3 linked regions of the Lepisosteus oculatus genome follow. The protein of the gene in region 3 interacts with the protein of the main gene of each other region in a biochemical or structural test. Links are inferred from orthologs where the notes say so. Each region holds a gene or a part of one and is shown on either strand. Other genes may lie near its edges.

Region 1 (6,870 bases), on a different chromosome or scaffold from region 3:
AAAGCATGTGCTTATCATACAGCAGAACTTAAAAGGGAATACACTGATCATCAAAGATGATTACAAAGTCACCAGTGTGACATGTGAACATGTGGACCATGTTGAACAGATTGGTTATGATTTTGAAAAAAAGAAGATAAAAATGGTTGACTCAATGCCTGTGATCCAGATGAGACTGGACTGTTGTTGTGACACAGTACAGTTTTTCAGATGTACTGATGACTGAGATTCTGGGTAATATTCCTCTGCACTGGCAGTGAAACCATAAGCAAAAAGGCATGTTAAGATAATATACGGGCAATTTGCCTGTGTACATGCCACTATCACAGAGTTTGCTGAAGCCCGCAGAGGGTAAGCGAGGTTGTTCTTGGAAACTTGTCTGTTTGGCAGAGAGTAATCCTGAAGTGGTCTGCCAGCATCTCACGCAATAATCCAGCAAATTGCATGGCTTTATGAACAGCTCTGGGCTAAAAGGAAAAGACACACAGTCCCCTAATTGGATTTACAACACATTGATAGCCCAGACACCTTCTTCAATCCTTTGGCTGTTATATCTTTTTATTTTTTAAACCCACTACGAAGCACACAAAAGTGCCACCCTAATCCTTTCCTCCACCAATACAAGAAATAAACAGCTAGTGATCTAGTGATTTATACACAGCTCAGCTTTGAATCAGCTATAACAAAAGCGATTACCACAAACCCAAGTACGAGCAAAACTAACCCTTAATACCAGCACACAGTACAACTAACTAGTTTATTTTCTAAGTAATGGTCCGAACACACTCTTCCATATAAGCACAATACTGACCCCATCAATGGCTAGAAGAGTGATTTGGTGTAGCAAAAAAAAAAGCACATTTATGCTCACCCTATACATTTGACATTGGGTTCGCATTGAGTTTCTTCCTCACAAAATATATAGTATATTAGGTGATAACACCGAGATTTTTTTAAAGGAAATGTATTCCATGATTTCATAGTACATTTAGCAATAAACTGAACCGCACTGCACATGATTTAATATTTTGTATTTCTATGTACGGGCAAATAATTATGCAAACTATTTTAAATTACTTCTGATATGAATGCAAAAGGACCGATTTTATGCACACCTGTCAAACTTAGCACATCGCCCATGGCGTGCAATTCGTTACTTTTTTGCCACGTATATGTAACGATGGGGCCTACCACACTATAGTGCCTTTCACACAATCTCAATCTCGGCACAAATGTAGCCTTTAAATGTGCCGACAAACTTTGGCAACACGTCATGACACCAAACAAAAATGAGGACGGAGTTTTTTTTTTTTTAAACGAGTCAAGAAACGCAGAACGTTTTAGAACAGCTTTGAGAGCAACGCTCAAAAAACGAAAACTTGCATGCACTACAACTGCGCAAAGCACAAACAACGGCATCGGATCGTGATCTAAAACAAAACAAATGCGTGATTCCCGATATGTTTTAGCACAATTTTAAAAAGAAATAAAAGCAGGGAAGTGTTATGCTGGGTGTTCCTATGGTTTGCTATACGAGAGGACAGTTGAAAGGAGTGATAGTGATATACCAATTCACTTCACCCACGAGCTGCGTATTTATTACATCAAAATTAAACTGGAAAACTATCAGAGACAGTTGCACAACATGGTACAAAGAAATCAATTGTGAATACGGAGTCTTTAAATTCCAATACAATTGTTCAGTTGTGTCTCCATTCCACAGTTAACTCGTGAGCACCGCACCAGCTTAGCTCTCACAACACTTATCTAATTCTAGCCAGAATCGGAAATTATACACCCTTCATAAAAATGTCATTTGAGCTCAACACAAATCAGAAAAGATATCGCGATTTAAAGGGAGGCGTTTATTTTTACATTTTTATTTAAAAAAAACTTCCAACGTCAACAGGAAAATTGGAACAGGATTCCACACTCCTAAAATTTCCTAACTGAATCTAAAAAACGATTCTAAATCGCTCCCGGTGACACAACACTATATTATCATTAATAATACACGCAAACGGCCATTAAGATATGTTTTAAATAAGGAAATAACACAAACACACCCGAAGGCCTAGGCCTACCTTTTTTTTTCCTGTATTTTTGTTGCGAGTTTCTCCAAGACGCAGGGTACCTGTAAATGCAGCTAAAATCTCTCTTCTGATACGACTGGATAAAAACGGGTTACCCTGGCTTGCATTGATTATATTAATATCGACTGCGGCAGCGATTTTAAAAAATGTTTTCTTAAAAAACATTAAGGTTACAGCTTGTGCACACAGAACACAAAATACATTCAAATAGGCAGCCAGAACAAGCGGCTCACAGATCAGCGATATCTAGCTAATCGAAAACCGAGAGCATGGATCGCTCGTTGACGAGGAGGGTTCACGGCTCCTTGCAAAAGTATTCAGCCCCTGCAAAAATTCAGCATTTTGATTAATGCAATTTTCTAATAGAATCAAGCTCTGAGTCTGCCCGTACCACACAAGGATATTCACTCTCTTTTTGTCAGATCATTTCAGGTTTACAGCCTTGTGCCTCGGGTTATTGTCTTGGTGAAATGTGAATTTTTGACCCAGTTTTAGATTCTTAAGTGTCTGACGACGGGTTTCTTTTGGGATTTACCTTTACTTTGCACCTTCCTTCCTGAATCCTGGCATGTTTCCAGGAGTCTCTGCTGATCACAACTATCCTCAAAACACAGCCCTGCCACCAACGTGCTTGACAGTTCTGATTGGGCGATGTACTCTGCTAGACGCTATACTTTGTTTTCGGACATAAATGGACGTTTTTGCCTCATTTGACTGTAAAACCTCCTGTTGTGTCTGTGGTATCTTTCACAGGAGAGTGAAGATCAAGTGTTTTCAGTACACGCTTCCTTCGTGCTTCTTATTCATAAAGGCCTTGCCTAAGGACTGGATATCGTCAGTGTATGATTAGCGACTCCCATCTCAGACTCGGATCTTTGTTAAGTCTTTCACGGTCACTGATAGCCCCACGGTGCCTCCGTAATCCCTGTCTACTGGCCTGCTTGTCCAGCAGCTCAGTCAGAAAGGGCAGCCCGAGGTGGTAATGATGTAGCTGACGATGCAGATCTGTGCATTTTTATCACATTTCGAAAAATATTCAGGGATCACAAATATCTTTATGCACAATATTAATATATAGGGGGATAAATCGGGTATCGTCATAATGTGAGCTCTCGAAGCATACGCGGCGACGCGTACTCGCTTTAAATTAAATTATATTTTAATCCCAATCTACTGAATGCACTTCATTGCAGTTACTGTACTGTATGTTAACGTGCGGTTGATGGGATGAGAAAAAAATATTTAATCTGTACAAAATATACTGTACATACATCGTTGCAAAATATAAATCTGGTAGGTTGTAGCTAATAGAAGTACTCAAAAATGAAGCACCAAAAACAATAAAAAGCAGAAATAACATACTTATACTAAACTTTGGCGAATTAAGTTTTCCTTTGATTTGTGTACGCCATACGTCGTGCAGACGCCTTCTGCATTCGGCAAGTGTTTACCATTTTAAATTGGTATGAACAGAAAGAAAAATATTTTTCTTTGCAGTACATTTCAGTGTTGTATTGGTGTAGGCTTTTTGTTTCCTTCTTTATAGCTGAGGGGGATTTTGTGTTTGTTAAATAAAACGAAATCCCCTTGATAATGTGCGATTGATTGGATGTTTTTAACATAGGGTAAGGGGCGGACAAATATGTATTTTTGTTTGCTTTAAGGTAATAATACATTTGTTGTGAGAATACCGTCGTCGATAGCATTTGCTGCGACGCTAGATTGCACCCTTTCTGTTTGGAGAGCGGACAAGGGTCATTCAGTCACGCTCTTACAACAAAAAATAGCCATTTTACTCAATACTCTTTATTTACATATCATTTACTATATCAGTTATCATATATTTGCTCACGAAACAATTGCAATTTACCAGGTGAATGTTATACAAAATCAGTAGTGCAATTACATAGAAGACAATATACCACTAATATATTTTGTGTAATTTTGGAATTTCTTTAATATAAATTATAAATCTGTATAAAGTTCATATGTAGCGGTGCAAGAGAAAACAATATTAAGTCTGCTTTGTTTGTTTATAATGGTTGCAATACAAAATAAGATGTTTGTGCTGTAGTGTTAAGGCGATCCAATGCTTGTAACACTAGGACACGAAATATTATTATTAATAATAATAATAATAATAATAATAATAATTGCTTACACTTATATAACGCTTTTCTGGACACTCCATTCAAAGCGCTTTACAGGTAATGGGGATCCCCTCCACCACCACCAATGTGCAGCCCCACCTGATAATCCATCTAATAACACAACATGCATCCAATCACATTTGCAGTTAAGCCCATAAATACCAATACATTTATCGATTAATGTACCGAAATTTCAAACTACCTTATCCAGATATTTTAATATTATATATAGTTGAGAACCTTTTAATCTGCTAATCAAAATACTTCTAATCTCAGTTCACACTAGCCTTGCTTTCGCAATATACGAACCGGAACTGCCGGCATTCATTCACTTCCGCCCTACCAACATGGCGGCAAATTTACATACGATTGTGACGTTACATCGTAGATCACTTCTATTTTCTACGGTATGAATGGACGCTTCGTAATGTGACGTAAACACGTCGGCCCCTCCCTGTGCCGTGACACCCTTCGGTCCCCGGCCGGTTGTTTTTTTTATTTTCTCCTGAGTGGTGCGGTGATGGCGTGTGGGGTCCCTTGTTCCTCTTGGTCTGGCAGGTCTCTGTCTCTTGTCGTGCTGCTGTTAGCAGTCTCGATCGTACTGCACACGGCAGTCGGAGAAAGGCAACTGAAATTCGTCACCCTGGTAAGCCGGTGTCCCTGGATTTCGATTAATAACTTGGTCGGAGGGTAGTAAAGAGTGCAGATCCGGTGTGCTTTGTGTCTTCAGGGTTATCGATCTGTGCACCGTCCAGCTCGCCCTTGTGTCGGCGAACTGTCCTTTAACACAACATTTAAGGCGAAGTTTCATGGAAATCCGGGTGCGGCGTTTTATGCAAATAATATTCAGGCTGCACTGATCCTGTAAACGTAAGTCAGAATAAAAACATGTCATGGTTTCGGTAACGCACCTGTGCATGAGAAGAACTTTAACTTTGCCAATATAAATAATGATTTTTCTGTCGTCGTATTTTATATTCTTATATTGTTTTTCATTACTATCTGTTTCTTCTTGCTATGCACTTGCTGTAATTTAAACTCAACATAACGTTGGATGAATCGAGTAAACCTGTTATACAACGAACTGCGTAAATAGTAATTCCGTTGAGGGAAAGTAAACAAAAACCGTTTAATTGTATGCAACTCTTTAAAACACATTGAAAAGTATATGGTATTTTCGAGGTTCTGGTATTGTTCAGCAGGGGTCTCCCTCCAATTCAGTTTTGGGTCATCTTAAATTACCTGTTTTGTTACAGAACACTTTTTATGGTCTTGTGTTTTTATGGAAGTTATTGATTCAATTAAGGGAAATTGTCTTTTCAGAATGGGTGTTCAGATGTCTGTTCTGAATGATCGCCATATCACTCAATAAATCACCAGTTTAATTGATCACAATTAAATTGTATTTGGTCTTTAGAATTTGATGATTCAGTGGTACCATATAAAACCCGGAACATTAGCATGGATCATGATCAGGGGCATAGACTCTCTGTGTTTATTGCAACATTCGCTACAGTACATTCAGTACAGTGGAACTCAAGTTCCACAGTTCTTTACAAAACTGCAATTTATGGGTGAAGCAAATGGGTGCTTCTTGTGTCTGTGCGTTTTGCAAAAAGCAGTCAATAACAGTGGCCTTTCTATACTGAAATGCAGAATAAGTCATGCACAGACACAGTCAAATCTTTAGTCACATTGAGTCACTTTAAGTATGGTGATGAGTGTTACTGTCTGTCAGATAAACTGTAAAATATCTGCATCCATAGGCCTTACATTTGTGTTTGTGTTACACTCTGTAACGTGCTGACATGGAGTAAAATCTACTGTCTGTGAATATTCTACCTCAAGGCATGAATTCTCTTTTGTTATTGTTCTGCCTCTTCTGCTGTTACCTGAATTACCTGATTTGGACCCGGTGTGGTGTGCTTGCTAACATTAACATGACACAGAATGTGAGGTTATCTGATTGAAAACAATTTCCACACAACACAGCAAGTACACACTGATGAAGCAGCCCTCCAACACACACCATATTAAACAAAAATCAATGAAATGGGGGAAAAACACAGTCACATGCACATGTAAACATTAACCCTACTTTTGGCAAACAATTGTAAAAGATGCTGAAGGTAATTAGCTGAAGGGGGAGAGTTCAAAGTTCACCTGGCAGTTGGAAAGAAGCTAACGTTGAAGCAAGCAGCACCTCAGAGGATCGATTGAAAGCATTTTCCCAAAGGCAGGAGCTGAAAAAAGATTCTGAGCTGGTCTTGTAGGCGCAGCTGAAGGTATGGCTTGTGTAAAGGGATGAAATGGAAGAGAGTTCATAGCCTATTTTCGCAGTTTTGGTCCCTTCCAGTTTCTTTTGTATGGCTGTACAAGCTCCCCATACCAAACCGATCAACCTGTCACAATACTTTGAATTCTGGCTGTGTCAAACTGGGGGAAGAAGTTGGGGGCTCACTCCGTGCTTCTTAAGCAACCCGAGAAAGTACCTCCTCTGCTGCACCCTCTTCACTATGTGATCTGTGTTGGTGCTGCCTTTGAGGTTTTCACTTACGTGTGTCACCAGAAATCTGAAGAAATTTGTCACCCTATGTGACCATTGGGGGGTCATTAATGATGATGGG
Region 2 (6,843 bases), on a different chromosome or scaffold from region 3:
TGTCTTTACTAAACACCTCCTGGTCTGGTGTTTTTCTTTTGTGTGGAAAAGTGACGAGTGCTCACATCTTAGGGGACACTATTCACATCAGGATCTTTTCAGGAAGTGAAGTGTGGCAATAAGGTATTGCAAGGTATTGGAACAGGGAGGACAATGGCTCCAACAGTCGTAGTTCATTCCACTTTAGGTCTGTTAGACGGAAACTTTATAAGCAAAGGCTTGTGCTGTATGACGATGTTATGACTGGGGGGAGGGGGGGGGAATCAAGCAAAGAAGCAGAGTTGATTCAGATAAATGGAGACCCTTTCAATCACTCTTTACCTTTCAAAAGTGGACGCCTGCGTGACTCTGTGTCGTACAGCCTGACGACACCTTCTTCGTTTGCCACAGCCAGGATCTGCTGCAGGCCTGGAGCTAGTGAACAGAGACCCACGTTACAGCGACAATTATCCTGAGAAAAGTTTTCTGTGTATAACACCAGAGGAACTAACTACGAGTAACAGAATCCATTTTCACGTCTTAAATCTGACACTAAGCAATTTTGTAAAAATTACTGCTAACTCACAATTTTCAGAAAAGAAATCTCACAAGCAGATGAACTCCAGTCAACACCAAATTAATTTTACAGAACAGTGTGCTGTTTGTCAACAGCCATTAACTTGCCGTGTCTTTCTAGACATAAAAGTCCTTTAATAAGACATGTAAACTGTTCAGCTGTATAAAAGATGATGTTCGTCTTAACTCATCCTTATTTAGTTGTAATTTGCTCTTTAAACGCCTCTGATAAAGACTAAACAAAGCTAAACACCTATACCTGACATCTATATAACAAGCTTTAACATAGTTGTGTTAAAAAGTAATTTCGGAATTTACAATACATAAAAAGTACATTTCACAATAAGGTCAAATCACAAAGCCAAAAAACGAAGGAGATAAAGAATATAAAACAGTGACAATGTTTTTCAGAAAAATAAGGTTTTAGACTAGAATTAAAAGCACTAAAATGTTGCTGCATTACTCATAGATGGTATTCCAGAGCATAGCGACAGAATGTGGTATCACCCCGAAAGTGTAGATGAACCACAGAAACACCAAAAAAGATCCAAGTCAAAAAGAGTGGAAAGGAGGAAAAGGGTATAGATACTGACTAGATACCAGAGGGTCGCACCATGTAGACTAATGAAGGTAAGAAGGATTTGGAAATTAACAGGAACAGGAATCCAAACACTCCAAAACAGGAGTGACGTGACAAGATCATTTGTAAGTGACCTAGTCGGGATTTAGCTTCCGAATTTTGAACCTACTGTAATTTAAGAGTAGCCTAGAGATTCCTGCACAAAGAAATGCAGAAACATCCTCCCCAACCCCCTCTAAAGAGCGGACACCTTAGGAGGTAACCTAGAACATTTCTAAGAAGGAAAAACAAGCACTGTGCATAAAGCAGTTATTTTTTATTTAAATTATTTTTCCTAATAATTATCCATTTGTTTTTCTCTTGAGTTTTGTTGGGTGCAAGGTCACATTAAAGACGCAAATATGTCTGACATAATTTTTCTTTGATTTCTGGCTTTACATCACAAAAACCTGTAATTTCAGTAAGGGTGTGTAGACTTTTTATATCTGCTACATGGGTTTCAAAATGAAGCAGGATCGAAGATAATCCCCAAATCCATTCTTCCAATTTAGAACTCAAACGAGGTGCCCTCAACAGGTAAAGCTACAGAGTGGGATTTAAAGAAAAAACCCAGTCACGTTACTGGATTTAATATCAAACCAAATAAGGAAATGAGCAAAAAGTGAGGATTTAAGATGAGGGCGATTTATTTCAATCCACATCATATTTAGCTTGTAACAGGCTAAAACACAAATAGACTTTTTGGCGATCCTCTACCTGTAGAAAACGTGCATCCGAAGGGAGGAACTGGAACCCCCATATCGCCATACGAGATGTGCTCATCTTGTCTAGCACACTGGTAACAATCTAACAGGGAGGAAAGCGGATACACACGCTCCGGCCCTGTAAGGGAAAACAGTGTTGAGAGTTCATTCATTCTTGTTAAATTAAGCCCGCGCGACCGCTCCCGTCCACATCTATTCATTTAAAAAACTCCGTCAGAGTGTAAGTTTCTACGATCTACTTCGTACGCGATTTTGCTTAAATCCTTTAAAATATAGTTTAACGTTAAATAGAACAGTTAAGAGTTTCATAAATAAATTCAATGAATCCTAAAAGTTTCATTGGTCTAAACGCCGTTTTACAGTGTGGCCTCTGTTTTAGAAATACTGATCGCATTGATAAAAGCTTCCGTGTCCACATCGCGATCACCAATATCATCAATATAATGGATTTTGGTATTGCTTTCTCGAAACCGATGAGTTAAGAAGCTGATTTTAGATGGTTTCACACAGAGAAAAACCGAAAATGAATCGTATTGAAGCGTGTTTCCCACCCAACCCCCTCATCTTTACATTTTAACACCCCACCGTAGAGGAAGAAAGAGCACCATTTTGAGCAGCAAAAGCGAATCCTTTTACTTTAGGAAAAATAAAATGAATGAAAAGCACTTTAAATATATTCATCCGCGTTGATCACCTCATAATTAGAAGATAATGGCATAAATAGACACAAAAGCTAATTTCAGAACGCCCCCCAAAAGAAACAAGTTAAACAAGAAATGGTCGATCTTTTTACTTTCTCTCTTTAAATAAGTCTTGATTCAAATACTATGCAAGGTATTTAAGAGGCAAAATGTGAAGATCTAACGCATTCCTCCCCCAGTTTTGAAGATTAATTGACTAGAGAGCCAGTACTCTATATTAAATCATCACCTAGCAGCTAATTTAACTTACCATTGTGCCTCCTTCTGAGAACTCCTCTATCAACAATGGAACGAAATAGCATCTTGCAATTTGTTATTGTGTTTAAAACTCAATTGCAAATTAAATGGATTTAAATTTCACAATGCAGCACCACTAGCTGTGTATCTCTTCCTAATGAAATACACAAGTACCCTTTCCCGCGAACTCAGAAATGAAAAAAGAATACGAAACACCCGCCTAAATGACGTTTCGCTACATGATTGGTCAAGAAAGCACAGAGTGGTCAGACTCCACCCACTCTGCGTAACAAAGCGAGTACCAGTCAGAGATACCTGGATCCAGATTAACTACTCAATAAAGTACAGATCCCAACCCTCTCCCATAACCTACAGAAAATATTACCTCCTCAAACAGGTACCAAAACTTCCCGGTCATCTAGCATTTTGAATATCCACTGATGTCACGTTATTGCGCCTTTCTTGCGGCCTAGTGGCGGCAGCACGTTTACGTCATGGGCGGGTAGTCGAGTGTTTATGTCACTTCCTGCCGCTTTGCACTGCTGGGATGTAGCAGTTTCTTTTGTGCCATGTATGCAGTATGATTGTGTTTTAATTGAAAAGTCCTTTTTAAAATCAGATTCTCAAACGTATATTGTAATAGAGAAAATTGTTGACTATATTTGACTTTCAGTCTAGGAATCATGTCTTTAACAACGGCGCGATCATTCTTGTCAGAAGCTGGTTACGGGGAGCAAGAATTAGATGCCAATTCTGCTCTGATGGAGCTGGACAAAGGTAGTTACACACACCTGAGTAAAACGCGTGCAATGCTTTGAGCTTCGAGCTGTTAAAAATGTAAGAGGTCGTTCATGGGTGCTGCTGTTCTGTAATAAAAATACTTTGTTTTGGTGGATTCATGTAAACACCAGCCTAGGCCGTTTTGGTTCTTCCGTTCCACTGTGACTCTGCTGCTCACAGTATAGATTAGGCAGTTAAACTAATTGTTGGATCAATGATTAATCATTTTACTGAGAGAGACGAATTTGTTCAGTCCTTATTATTCAGTGATTGCTGCGCTATATGGTGTAATCTAAATCGTAACATATACAGTATATTATGTATATACAGATAGTAGACAGAATATGCACAACCCAGTGGAATGAATGCACGAATGTGCCATGCAATTCTGCAGAAGGGATGCAGCACCATTCTTCCACGAGAAAGCCAATCAACTCTCACCTGGTTAATGGAAGTGGAAAACACTATCTCACCCCACGGTTCAGAATATCCCATAAATGCTTGGTAGAGTTTGGATCAGGTAACAGAGAAGGCCATGTGATGTGGAAAACAGCAGTGTCACCTTCATCAAAACACTGGGTGACCACGTGCGCTAAGGGCATTGACATCCTGGAAGACTCCCCTCCAGGCAGGGAAGAAATTCTGCAACACAGGGTGAAGGTGATCACTCAGTGCCATTAAGTAGTGGTTACATTAACCTTACCTTCTAAGGGAAGGAGTTCACCTAAACTGTGGCAGGAAAATGTACCCCTTAACATTACTGTACCCAGGGCTGTAGAGTTCTATAGGATGGTGCCAAAAATGGTGAAGAACGATTTATCTAAACAAATGACCTTTTTCTAGTACTTGATAGTCCATTTGCTGTGCTCTTTGCACCACTAGTCTTACAGGCGTGTGTTACAAGAGGTAATGAGTGATTTGCGCTGTGCAACCCGTCTAAATGATCCTGCTGTGTGGATTTCTCAGCATTTCTCTTGATTAAACTGGCTGCTTGTGCCCCAGGATGAAATTTGTAGTTCTGATTAATGCTTGGATATTACCATCCTGGAGTATACTGACCCATTGTTAGGACTGACCGAAGATGTCTTTTCTATTGGGTTCCATGCTGAAATCAGCTTAGACACTATGACTCTTGATCACTTAAGTTTCTGCTAAACACCCCTTCAAAGTCACTGATGTCTCCCCTTGAAGTTATAATAAAGGCCAACCAGGCCTGTCCAGCATTTCTATACATGACTCTAAGAACGCTGGGTTGTTAATTGCTTAATTAATGTAATGAATGAGTTCTGTTTTTCCTCCATTAGCTGTGTATTTCTGTATATGTCATTGAATCATATATACATACACTAAATCCTTTTTAGATCCTGCACCAATCCTTGTAAAGACTGCAAGATTGTTGTATCACCTGAATTCTTTCATCTTAAGTTATTTACTGTATGAAATCCTAAGTTGGAGTCTTCAGATGTGCAGCAGCACAGTTTTTTTACTAACCAGTATTGTAAAAATCGTTCCCCCCCTGAAGGGCTGCGGTCCGGCAAGCTTGGAGAACAGTGTGAAGCTGTGGTGCTCTTTCCCAAGCTGTTCCAGAAATACCCGTTCCCTATCCTGATCAACTCCGCCTTTCTGAAACTGGCAGACATCTTCAGACTGGGGTATGTGTTGAAATGAGCTCCCCTCCAAGCACAGCACTTCGTCTTTTACTGCTCTGCTTAACTGAGTTGCTTCTTAGGGTTTCTTGCTAAATTGAAAAAAAATCAAACAATTTTTGCATTTAGTGTGATTTTTCAGGCTGTTTTAGTTTTTGCATGCCTCAATGGAGAAGGTTTTATACAGTATGGCAGCATGAACTCACCATGTTCTGAAGCCATGCAAAACGTAACTGGTGATCAGTCACAGATAATTTGTTAAATTAAGTAGTATGAAGATTATTGGGAGCAAAACTCTTCAGTCCTGAAGGACAAGTGTTCCTTTAATTGGAAAAATTACTGGCCTAATTGAACAAAAAGTACAGGTGGTCCCAGACTTTAGAAATTAGTGATTTCGGAATACTCAGTGACTTCTGCATGGTAGTACAATGCTACTCTACGAAAGCTGAATTTGACATTACAAACAAAATCTAACAGCATCATTTCTGAATGTCACCTTCGTTCCCTTGAATTCCTAAGAGAAGGGGTCGTCTCTTTTGTTTCCTGTAAAATTTTGAAAGTGCAGTCAACAACAGGGCTCATCTGGCAGTCACAGTTTATTATTATATTACTTACATTCCAATGAGTCATTACATGTTTTTCAAAAATAAAAAGTAACTTGTGTTTTTTTAGCTGAATGAGAAATGTTATCATATTCCTTTCTGACTTGTTTTAAAATTCTGTAATGTTAAAACCCAATTGAATGTGATACTAGGGTGTATGTCACAAACATCTACTTTTTAACCATCTTAAAATAAGATGGACCCTTAGTTTTTGTGTTTTTATGAACAGTAGGCATTATCTCCCAATTGTTCTGTCTTTCTGTCACAGAAACAATTTTCTACGGCTCTGTGTGCTGAAGGTGACTCAACAGAGTGAGAAGCACCTGGAAAAAATCTTAAATGTTGATGAGTTTGTCAAGAGGATTTTCTCCGTCATTCACAGCAATGATCCAGTGGCCAGAGCCATCACTCTCAGGTACCGAGAATTGTAAACGATAATTAAGTAAGAATTATATAATTAAAGGGATCATCAAACATGGCCTTTTTCCAAAGAAAGATACCAGAGCAAGCCTGTGGATCAGTTACATGACACTCAGAGATCCCTCACTAAGGCATTTGTAACAAGAAATTGCTTAGAAAAGTATGGCAGATACTGAGTTCCTCATGGTGTGGCGCAGGGGGTTAATTTCCACATGGAGTTTCTATGCTCTCCCCGTGTTTGCGTGGTTTTCCTCCGGGTGCTCCGGTTTCCTTCCACAGTCCAAAGACATACTGGTAGGTTCATTTGGCTTCTGGGAAAACTGGCCGTGGTGCGAGTGTGTGCATGTCTGTGTCTGTGTGTGCCCTGTGATGGAGTGAGATAGACTCCAGCTCCTCCCACAACCCTATACTAAATAAATGGATAGGGAAATGGCAGTAATACACTCTGTGTGCTGAATGATATACTATAATAAGGGTTTTCCTTGTCAAGTGATGATTGTATCCCTGTTTATGCCTCTTGTTTCTGTTTTGGTGATTTTTTTCAATGGTGACTCGAGT
Region 3 (7,222 bases):
TGCCGGGCCAAGGGCACAGTCAGGGACAGGTGGGAATACAGGCCCCTTCTTTCTGATCGGGCACTATTTCCATTATGTAGGACACAACACTCCAAGGATACAACTACCTTGTCAGCTTCTGCAGGGTACAGCTTGGCTCCAGGGGACGTCAGCCCTGGGCACATGATGTTGGCTCCGCTCAGGACAAATTTAATGGCTCCTTTATCTACTTGCTGGTGTGGAAGAATAAAGGGATCTAAGAGAGCAAGGTAAACACAAAAGCACTCAGGTTAATATCCTCCACCCAGCAGTCAAATATGTAATTTGATGAAGGATGAGAAAAACAAACTATGGATCTTGTTTGCTACCATGAGATTAACTGACTATAGACCATTTCATTCAATATTATTTATCCATTCATTTTCGAACTGCTTCTTCCAATTCAGGGTGGTGGGGGAGCCAGAGCCTATCCCAGCCAGCCATGACTGCTGGGCAGGATACAGCCTGGGCAGGACGCCAGTCCATCTCAGGGCACTCACAGACACAAACGCAGACGCGTACTCCCACCAGGGCCCAGCGCTGTGATGCTACCCATAAATTCCAACCACTGCGCCACCATGCCACCCATGAAATACTTATATTAAATAGAAACAACATTGGATATAAAGACGAAACAGGAAGGAATGAAGAGAACAAGTAGGAAACGCATCACTGTCAGGAACACTTAAAGATCACAAAAAAGTCATGAAAGAGCAGACTGACTGAAAATGCAGAATTAAGAGCCACGTTCAAATCTTCAGTCTTCTCACCCTACATACAGCTCTGGAACTGCTCTGCTATCACATTACAAACAAACAACACCGGCCGTTTTCCTCTGAAGCCGTGAGAAAAGGAGCAGCCAAGAGCTTACATTTATGAAGCAGTCTCAGTGTGGGGTAGAACGGGCCCTCTCTCTGCCTGAAGAACAGCAGCTCCCCGTTCACAGTCAGGATTTCAATGTGCTCGTGGCTGCAAACGATCGAAACACCAAGTTCACGCAGCTGCACCCCACAAAGCGTCCCCTCATCGATCCGCACTGGTGCGGCCGGGTCCACGGCGCCCCTACGGCGCTCTCTTCCAACTGCTCACAGCCTGCTCGGTTCTCAGGCCTGCGAGTCTGCCTTCACGCTGGCAAGAGAGCTCCTGCAGCTGGCTGTGTCGGGGCAGGGAGTGCCATGGGGCAGGGGGCCTGCAGCCTCACAGACACCCTGAGAGAGAACTGGGCTGGGCACATAACTGCCAAGTCCACAGACCCGTCAGAGTGTGAGCAATTAAAAGAAAACCCGCATGCCTTTATTGGGTTTGCAGATGTGCTAACCTGCAGTAAGCAATACCTCTTTGCCTTCTGAAGCCTTCCCTGCATGATCCTTAAGCAAACTTTCAGTTCCCTTTCAAAACAGCAGAAGGCAACTAGGCTTTCTGCTTATCAGGCGTTGTCAGTCTAAGACAGATATATTACAGAAGTCACAGACAGCCAATCTTAATCTAAAAGGTGGTAAAACCTGTTTCTTTATCTCTTCCCCATGTTAGCTAAGATGCCCAAATCTGCTGGTTCTAGAGAGAATTAGACCACAATGAACACAGGGGTTCTCAGGTATGCGGATTACCATCGGACGATTTTGACAGGATCTTTTTTCGGCATGATCTGATTAAGCCATGAATCGATGTCAGGAAACTGCTCCAACAGCTGGTTCTTTATGCCTTTGATGACAGACGTCTTCAGCTGTATGCAATTGGAAACATTTTCCTTCTCGTCAAACCTGGAATGAGATTACAAAGAGGGGTTCAAAGCTGTGCGGTAAAATATGGGGGTAAGTGGCTCTACATCAGGAGGGCAAACCGCACCTTCTCAAGTCCCGGGGTAGCCTAGCTTGGAGAGTTGGATCTATGTAACATTAAAGTCTTATTTCGTTTTAAGAAAACAAGAATCCTGTATGACGGTAATAGAAAGCTGAGATAAAATGGATTTAAACAAAATATACTGTCTTCCTTAGAAACTCCCGTGCTTTGAAATGCGAGAAAAGATTTAGTCTCATCATAACACAAAAACATATGTAATTCAAGAAAATCTACTACAATGTAACACGTAACAGCGCATAGACAGAAGACTTTTACATATTTTTAAAAACACTACATAGGTGCAAGACAGTATTTTAAAAAAAGAACACTTGAAAGGCATAGAGACTATTATTAAAATGTTTCTGGACGTCACTGGCTCAGACCAACGGCTGCAAATTGAGACACAGACAAATCACTGCCAAAGAAACAAAACACCCAACTTTTTAAACATCCTCGGTCGTCACCCCTGCTGAATAAGCGAATTCTAACTGAAGCTCCTGGGCACGCAGTCTTCAGTAAATCATGTAAGTATAATTCAGTCTCCACGCTTGTTCTCAGTGTACCGCACACACAAGCTCTTCACGATTTTTACAGCAGAAGAGCTACGACTGCGCGACAGCGTCGATCGGTTTACGGCACCCGGCTTCTACCATAGAGTTCAGTTTCGGTTTCTAGAGGGATTTCCTTTTAGGGCATGTGTTCCTGTCTCACACCTCTTGTCCAGAGTTGGATCCCGCCGTGGGAGTCGTTTGTGTTGAAGTCTTTATGTTATCAACCCCTTGGCTATTAGTGAGTGCGTTTGTTTGGTTTCAGTAGCCCGAAGACATGCTGTCTGACACTTATTTAAAGTGTCTTCCGTCGGCGATGCGATGCACTGGGGTCCAGTCCGGTCTGTATCCTGCCTTGCAGGAAAATGTCTGGATGAATCCTGTATAATTAATCAAAGACTGAAACATTACAAAATACATACACAACTAATCAAACTATAATACAACCTACGTTATAGCAGCTCCGGTCGCAGAGCTAAGAGCAAACTAAGTACACTGGACAAAAGCGTCTAGCATGTATACCCTGTATTTTATTTATGTAAATACTTTTCAAAAATGATTTTTTTTTTTATCTGGTAAACAACATGCTATTGAGAAGTTGTGTGGTTGGTCTGCTCATTGTGTTGCTGAGAACTAATTTGCACTTATCTAATGATAGTAACCAACCTCTCTTTGTCCTGTTCTCCATTTGTGCCTTACCCACGGACTATCTTTTCGCCTATCATATGGTTCAAATGTGGTGTCATTTCTGCTTCAACGTCATAATTACAATTACAAAAACAAGGAATGTTTGCCTTTACATGCCAAATCCAGTACATATTCGACACAAGCAGAAGCGTGAAATGAGGTTTAAGACACATTTAACATTTTTCTCTGGGTTTGGTTCCGGCCTTGTGCACCTCCTGTGTGAAGTTTACATGTTCCTCCTGTGCCTGGATTTCTTCGACAACGCCGGTTTCCTCCCACCTTTTAAAATCCTTCAGTCCAGCTTACTGGTTTCTCTTAGCGATCACAGCGTGTTTGTGTCAGGCGATAGGCTGGCACCCTCTCAAAAAGAGCAGTCTCTCTTTAACACCCTGTCCTTCCGGAAAGGGATCCGCATTTCTTCGAGTCTGCGACACCTCCCAGGAATAATCTTGCCAAGACTGTTTTTATAATGAATGGATGTGCGAAACGTGTCTTGGTATTGAATAGCAGCAGAAAAAGGAATGAAATAAGGACTATACAATTTTTTTATTAATATTTCTTCCTTATAATAAAGACTTTTATTATAACGAAACCTTACTGAGTAAAGATGAATCAGGGGTAGCTAAGATATATATATATATTTGGGTAGCTGAGTTATTTAACCTAGCCCTAACCTCTCTGGTTATGCAATTAAGTTCATGTTCCACGTCATAATGGTTATGTACATTAACTTGTAACCTTTTCTTTTTTAGATTAAACGTGATCAAATAATAGCTTTTAAAATATAATACTAACCCGAAGGTGTTTTTTTTTCTCTTAAAAAGAAAACTTGAATCGAAACTTCAACTAGTTCAGACTGTCAGGGCGCCACCTGGGGGCTAAAGTCCAGAATACAAGTGGCCACTTTTCCCCCGATGCTTGCGATGAAAGACGGAAGTACTTCCGGTAGGTCAAGCTATGGTTATACTTGATTATAAGTTGGTATTCAGATGTGGGGCACATTAATCTCGAGAATACTACAGTCTCCAGGGATAGTCTAGGCTTCTGTGGCAGAAAACTCGACCATGGGGTTAAAAACGTTTTTCAGTCCGTGGAGTTCAAGTGCGCCCCGGAGGAAGTAGTTTCCAGCCATCTTTTTTTTTGCCAATAACAAGAAAGAGGATCTAAGAGTGGAGCAGTAGTCTCATTTTATTGTCTGTTTTCAATTAAAAAGAGACGAGAACGTGTGAAATAAGAGGAGTCGAAGCTCAAAGACACACGGAGCGTCAACGTCAAACCTGAAGGCTCTTAGGATTAACAGACTGGCTATTTGATTTTGTAATTTTTTTCATGTTTCCAACAGGTTTATCTACCCCTAATCCCCCACCGCCAGCTCAGGAGGTTAGACCAGCAGCTTCTGATGGTAATAACGGTAGCAGCAATAATTCAACGTCCAAAAAGAGAAAAATAAACAGCTCCGAAAAGGAAGACTTTGATTCCCTGTCTTCGTCTCCTCCCAAAAACATCAGTGCGTCCTGCTCCTCCGGGTCTCCCACCTCTCACCACATACAAAAGAAACTGAGGTTCGAGGACTCCGTGGATTTCATTGGGCTGAATGTGAAAATGGCTGAGGAGTCATCTTCATCATCTGCATCGTCCAGTAACAAGGCAAAAAACGCCTTTCTGGCCGCCGGGGTCGGACACCACGCTAACGGACTGACCAAAACCTCGACCGGTTCCGCCACCTTCTCCAACAGTAAACCCGGAGCTGCCAAGAAACTAGTGATCAAGAACTTCAAAGGTAACCTTCCTGCACGCCGGCCGCTGCCAACTCGCTGCCCCCTCTCCCCCAGGCCGAACCGTGCGATGACGAGCGGTGCTTGGCTCAAAGTCGGTGGAAGTTTAAATTACGGCATTTAATCATCACCCGTCTTACGTACTGAGGTGTTATTTAGATCTTTTAAGTGTTTCTCCTCTCTAAATGCGTCCGTTGGTCGTGGTGTAATTAAGAGCATCGGCAGATTTAAACAGGTTTGGGCTGCTACTGCTCCAGTGTTGTGAAGGTTCGATTACCTGTGTAAAACCTCAGAGGTGTTTTGCTCAGATGTTTGTTCCTATGAAAGCCTTCTGTTGATGCCAGATAGGCAGCCTTTACTCTAACGTTGTAAAGCATAGTTGTAGGAACCTGAGTAGAGTGAGCACGGGGCTCCCTAGCCTTTTAAATGGCTCGTTCTTAACGCTGTCAGTCATGGCAGACTTGCCTCAGTGAAACTACTACAGACTCGTACAGAATTCACTACAGTACAGCTCTGTGGGTGTCTGTAGCCATATTAATGAAACAGGCAGGTAACGTGCACTATTTTTCAAGTCCTCTCCTGCTTTTTCAAGATCACAGTCTGTATCGTTGTCTTTCCCTTTAGCGGAGAATTGAGCTCTGGGGCTCTGTTCCACATGCTGTATGCCTGTTAGGCGTGTTGCCGCTGTTGTCATTTACTTGCACTCACCTCATTCTGCGAGGCCACGTGTTGGGGAGCTGTAAATGAATGGCGAGCACCCCAGCACCACCCCGCACACTGACCTCAAGAAACCTCTCCATTGCGATCCTCCTCTTTTGCAGAAAAGCCCAAATTGCCAGAAAACTATACCAACGAAACCTGGCAGAAACTGAAGGGGGCAGTGGAGGCCATTCAGAACAGCACTTCAATCAAGTATAACCTAGAGGAGCTCTACCAGGTATGACAAACAGACTTTGTCCATTCCTGCTGCGGGCTGGTTGTGCAAGGAAGCCCGAGGCTTTGTGTCATTCGAACGACTGGGTTTAATTCATGTCTGTTCTCCTGGCTGCAAGCGTGTCGGTAAACTGTTTCCTTTGATTCCATTTCTTAGAGCATTAACACTAATCGCTGGTAACTGCTGGGGTCTGGCTGCCCTTGATCGGGACCAGCATAATCAGATTGCCCCAATTAAACAGGAAATTAACATAAAACTGCAGCCAGTTGCTGTCGTCTAGCACATCAGTAGTACAAGTAAAGGGGTTGTGGATGTTATAGATTAAAGAGCAAATTGTTTTCGGCTTTCACTGTGACCTATTCACTGTCCATTGAGAATGCAGACATCTTTGGTGTTTTTACTGAATTTATACATGGGATACAGGACTGTTGCTTTTTATATAATCTACTGAAGTTGGATGTGTAATCATTCTGTTGAATGAAATGGCTTGTATTTTGAAACTGGAATTGCTGATGGGAAGAGGCTGTTTTGTAGCCCTTAATGCATTTTTAGTAAGTTTTTGTTTCATGGAATGGTTGTGTGCATGTTTTTTGGATTAGAGACTTTTAAATTCATAGGATTGCTTATGTACAGAGTATGGTGTTACTGTGCAGTTGACTTGTGAATTATTATGAAATGAGATGGTTTGCTTTTAAAGACACCATATTCAATAATAAAGTGAAGGGCACCATATTCAGTGATAACAGGCTGTAGGTTGTATAAAAAGCTCATATCACAGTAGAAAAAAACAAAAATGTAGAGGATAAAACCATCGTGCGAAAAAGACATTCTACAAGCACCCAAAGTCCTGATTTCTGCTAGGATGATGTTCCAAGCTGCCCTGGAGCATAGCAACAAAAAAGTTTGTTGATCATAAAAGTGTAGATGAGCTGTGGGAACACAGTGAGACAGAGTCACCTGAGCAAAGAAATCGATACCATGTTTGCTAGATAAGGAGGAGCCATAACCTAAAGCCTTGAACGAAAGCAGACAGATTTTAAAATCGACTTGAAATGTGACAGGCAACCTGTGCACGGCTCCAGAATAGGAGTGATGTGATCACTTGCCTATGACCTCTTTAGGGTACTAGCTGCCAAATTCTGAATTTAAGTGCTGCTTATATCCATTTTATCTGAGAATGTGACCTCAAGAAATCTCACCACTGCAAGATATAAATGTGTAAACTGTATATACTCAAAATAACTTACTGCGAAAGCTGTGTGAATGCATGATTAAATTTGTTTCATAGAGTGCTTTTTGTATGCTCACCAATAATGTGAGTGAAATGGGTTTTTTCGTTGCTTAGGGGACTGCATCAGTTTTGTAGGTTCAGACATTAATTTTAGGCTAATGTAGTTTTTTGATGGTTTGATTTGGTTTAT

What was found. The genes of interacting proteins can lie anywhere in the genome.
Region 1: the proteins of cul4b (region 3) and ambra1a form a complex in vitro, tested with the Homo sapiens proteins (2 studies listed by BioGRID, with this or other methods). The link is inferred for Lepisosteus oculatus from reciprocal best matches to the Homo sapiens genes CUL4B and AMBRA1.
Region 2: the proteins of cul4b (region 3) and dtl form a complex in vitro, tested with the Homo sapiens proteins (2 studies listed by BioGRID). The link is inferred for Lepisosteus oculatus from reciprocal best matches to the Homo sapiens genes CUL4B and DTL.

The regions. Positions count from the first base shown.
Region 1 is NC_090716.1:4,948,789-4,955,658, forward strand, and holds the start of ambra1a (activating molecule in BECN1-regulated autophagy protein 1A), read right to left. Parts: upstream 3,016-6,870; 5' UTR 2,629-3,015; intron 2,340-2,628; exon of another isoform or gene 2,085-2,339; intron 1-2,084. Other genes in the region: acp2 (lysosomal acid phosphatase), read left to right, coding at 4,764-4,889. UniProt on the Homo sapiens protein: Substrate-recognition component of a DCX (DDB1-CUL4-X-box) E3 ubiquitin-protein ligase complex involved in cell cycle control and autophagy.
Region 2 is NC_090697.1:46,095,408-46,102,250, forward strand, and holds the start of dtl (denticleless protein homolog), read right to left. Parts: upstream 3,016-6,843; 5' UTR 2,903-3,015; coding exon 2,851-2,902; intron 2,018-2,850; coding exon 1,892-2,017; intron 415-1,891; coding exon 322-414; intron 1-321. Other genes in the region: ints7 (integrator complex subunit 7), read left to right, coding at 3,521-3,614, 5,140-5,269, 6,134-6,280. UniProt on the Homo sapiens protein: Substrate-specific adapter of a DCX (DDB1-CUL4-X-box) E3 ubiquitin-protein ligase complex required for cell cycle control, DNA damage response and translesion DNA synthesis.
Region 3 is NC_090703.1:50,357,219-50,364,440, reverse strand, and holds the start of cul4b (cullin-4B), read left to right. Parts: upstream 1-4,198; 5' UTR 4,199-4,421; coding exon 4,422-4,872; intron 4,873-5,688; coding exon 5,689-5,804; intron 5,805-7,222. Other genes in the region: mcts1 (malignant T-cell-amplified sequence 1), read right to left, coding at 102-235, 890-987, 1,626-1,778, 2,298-2,308.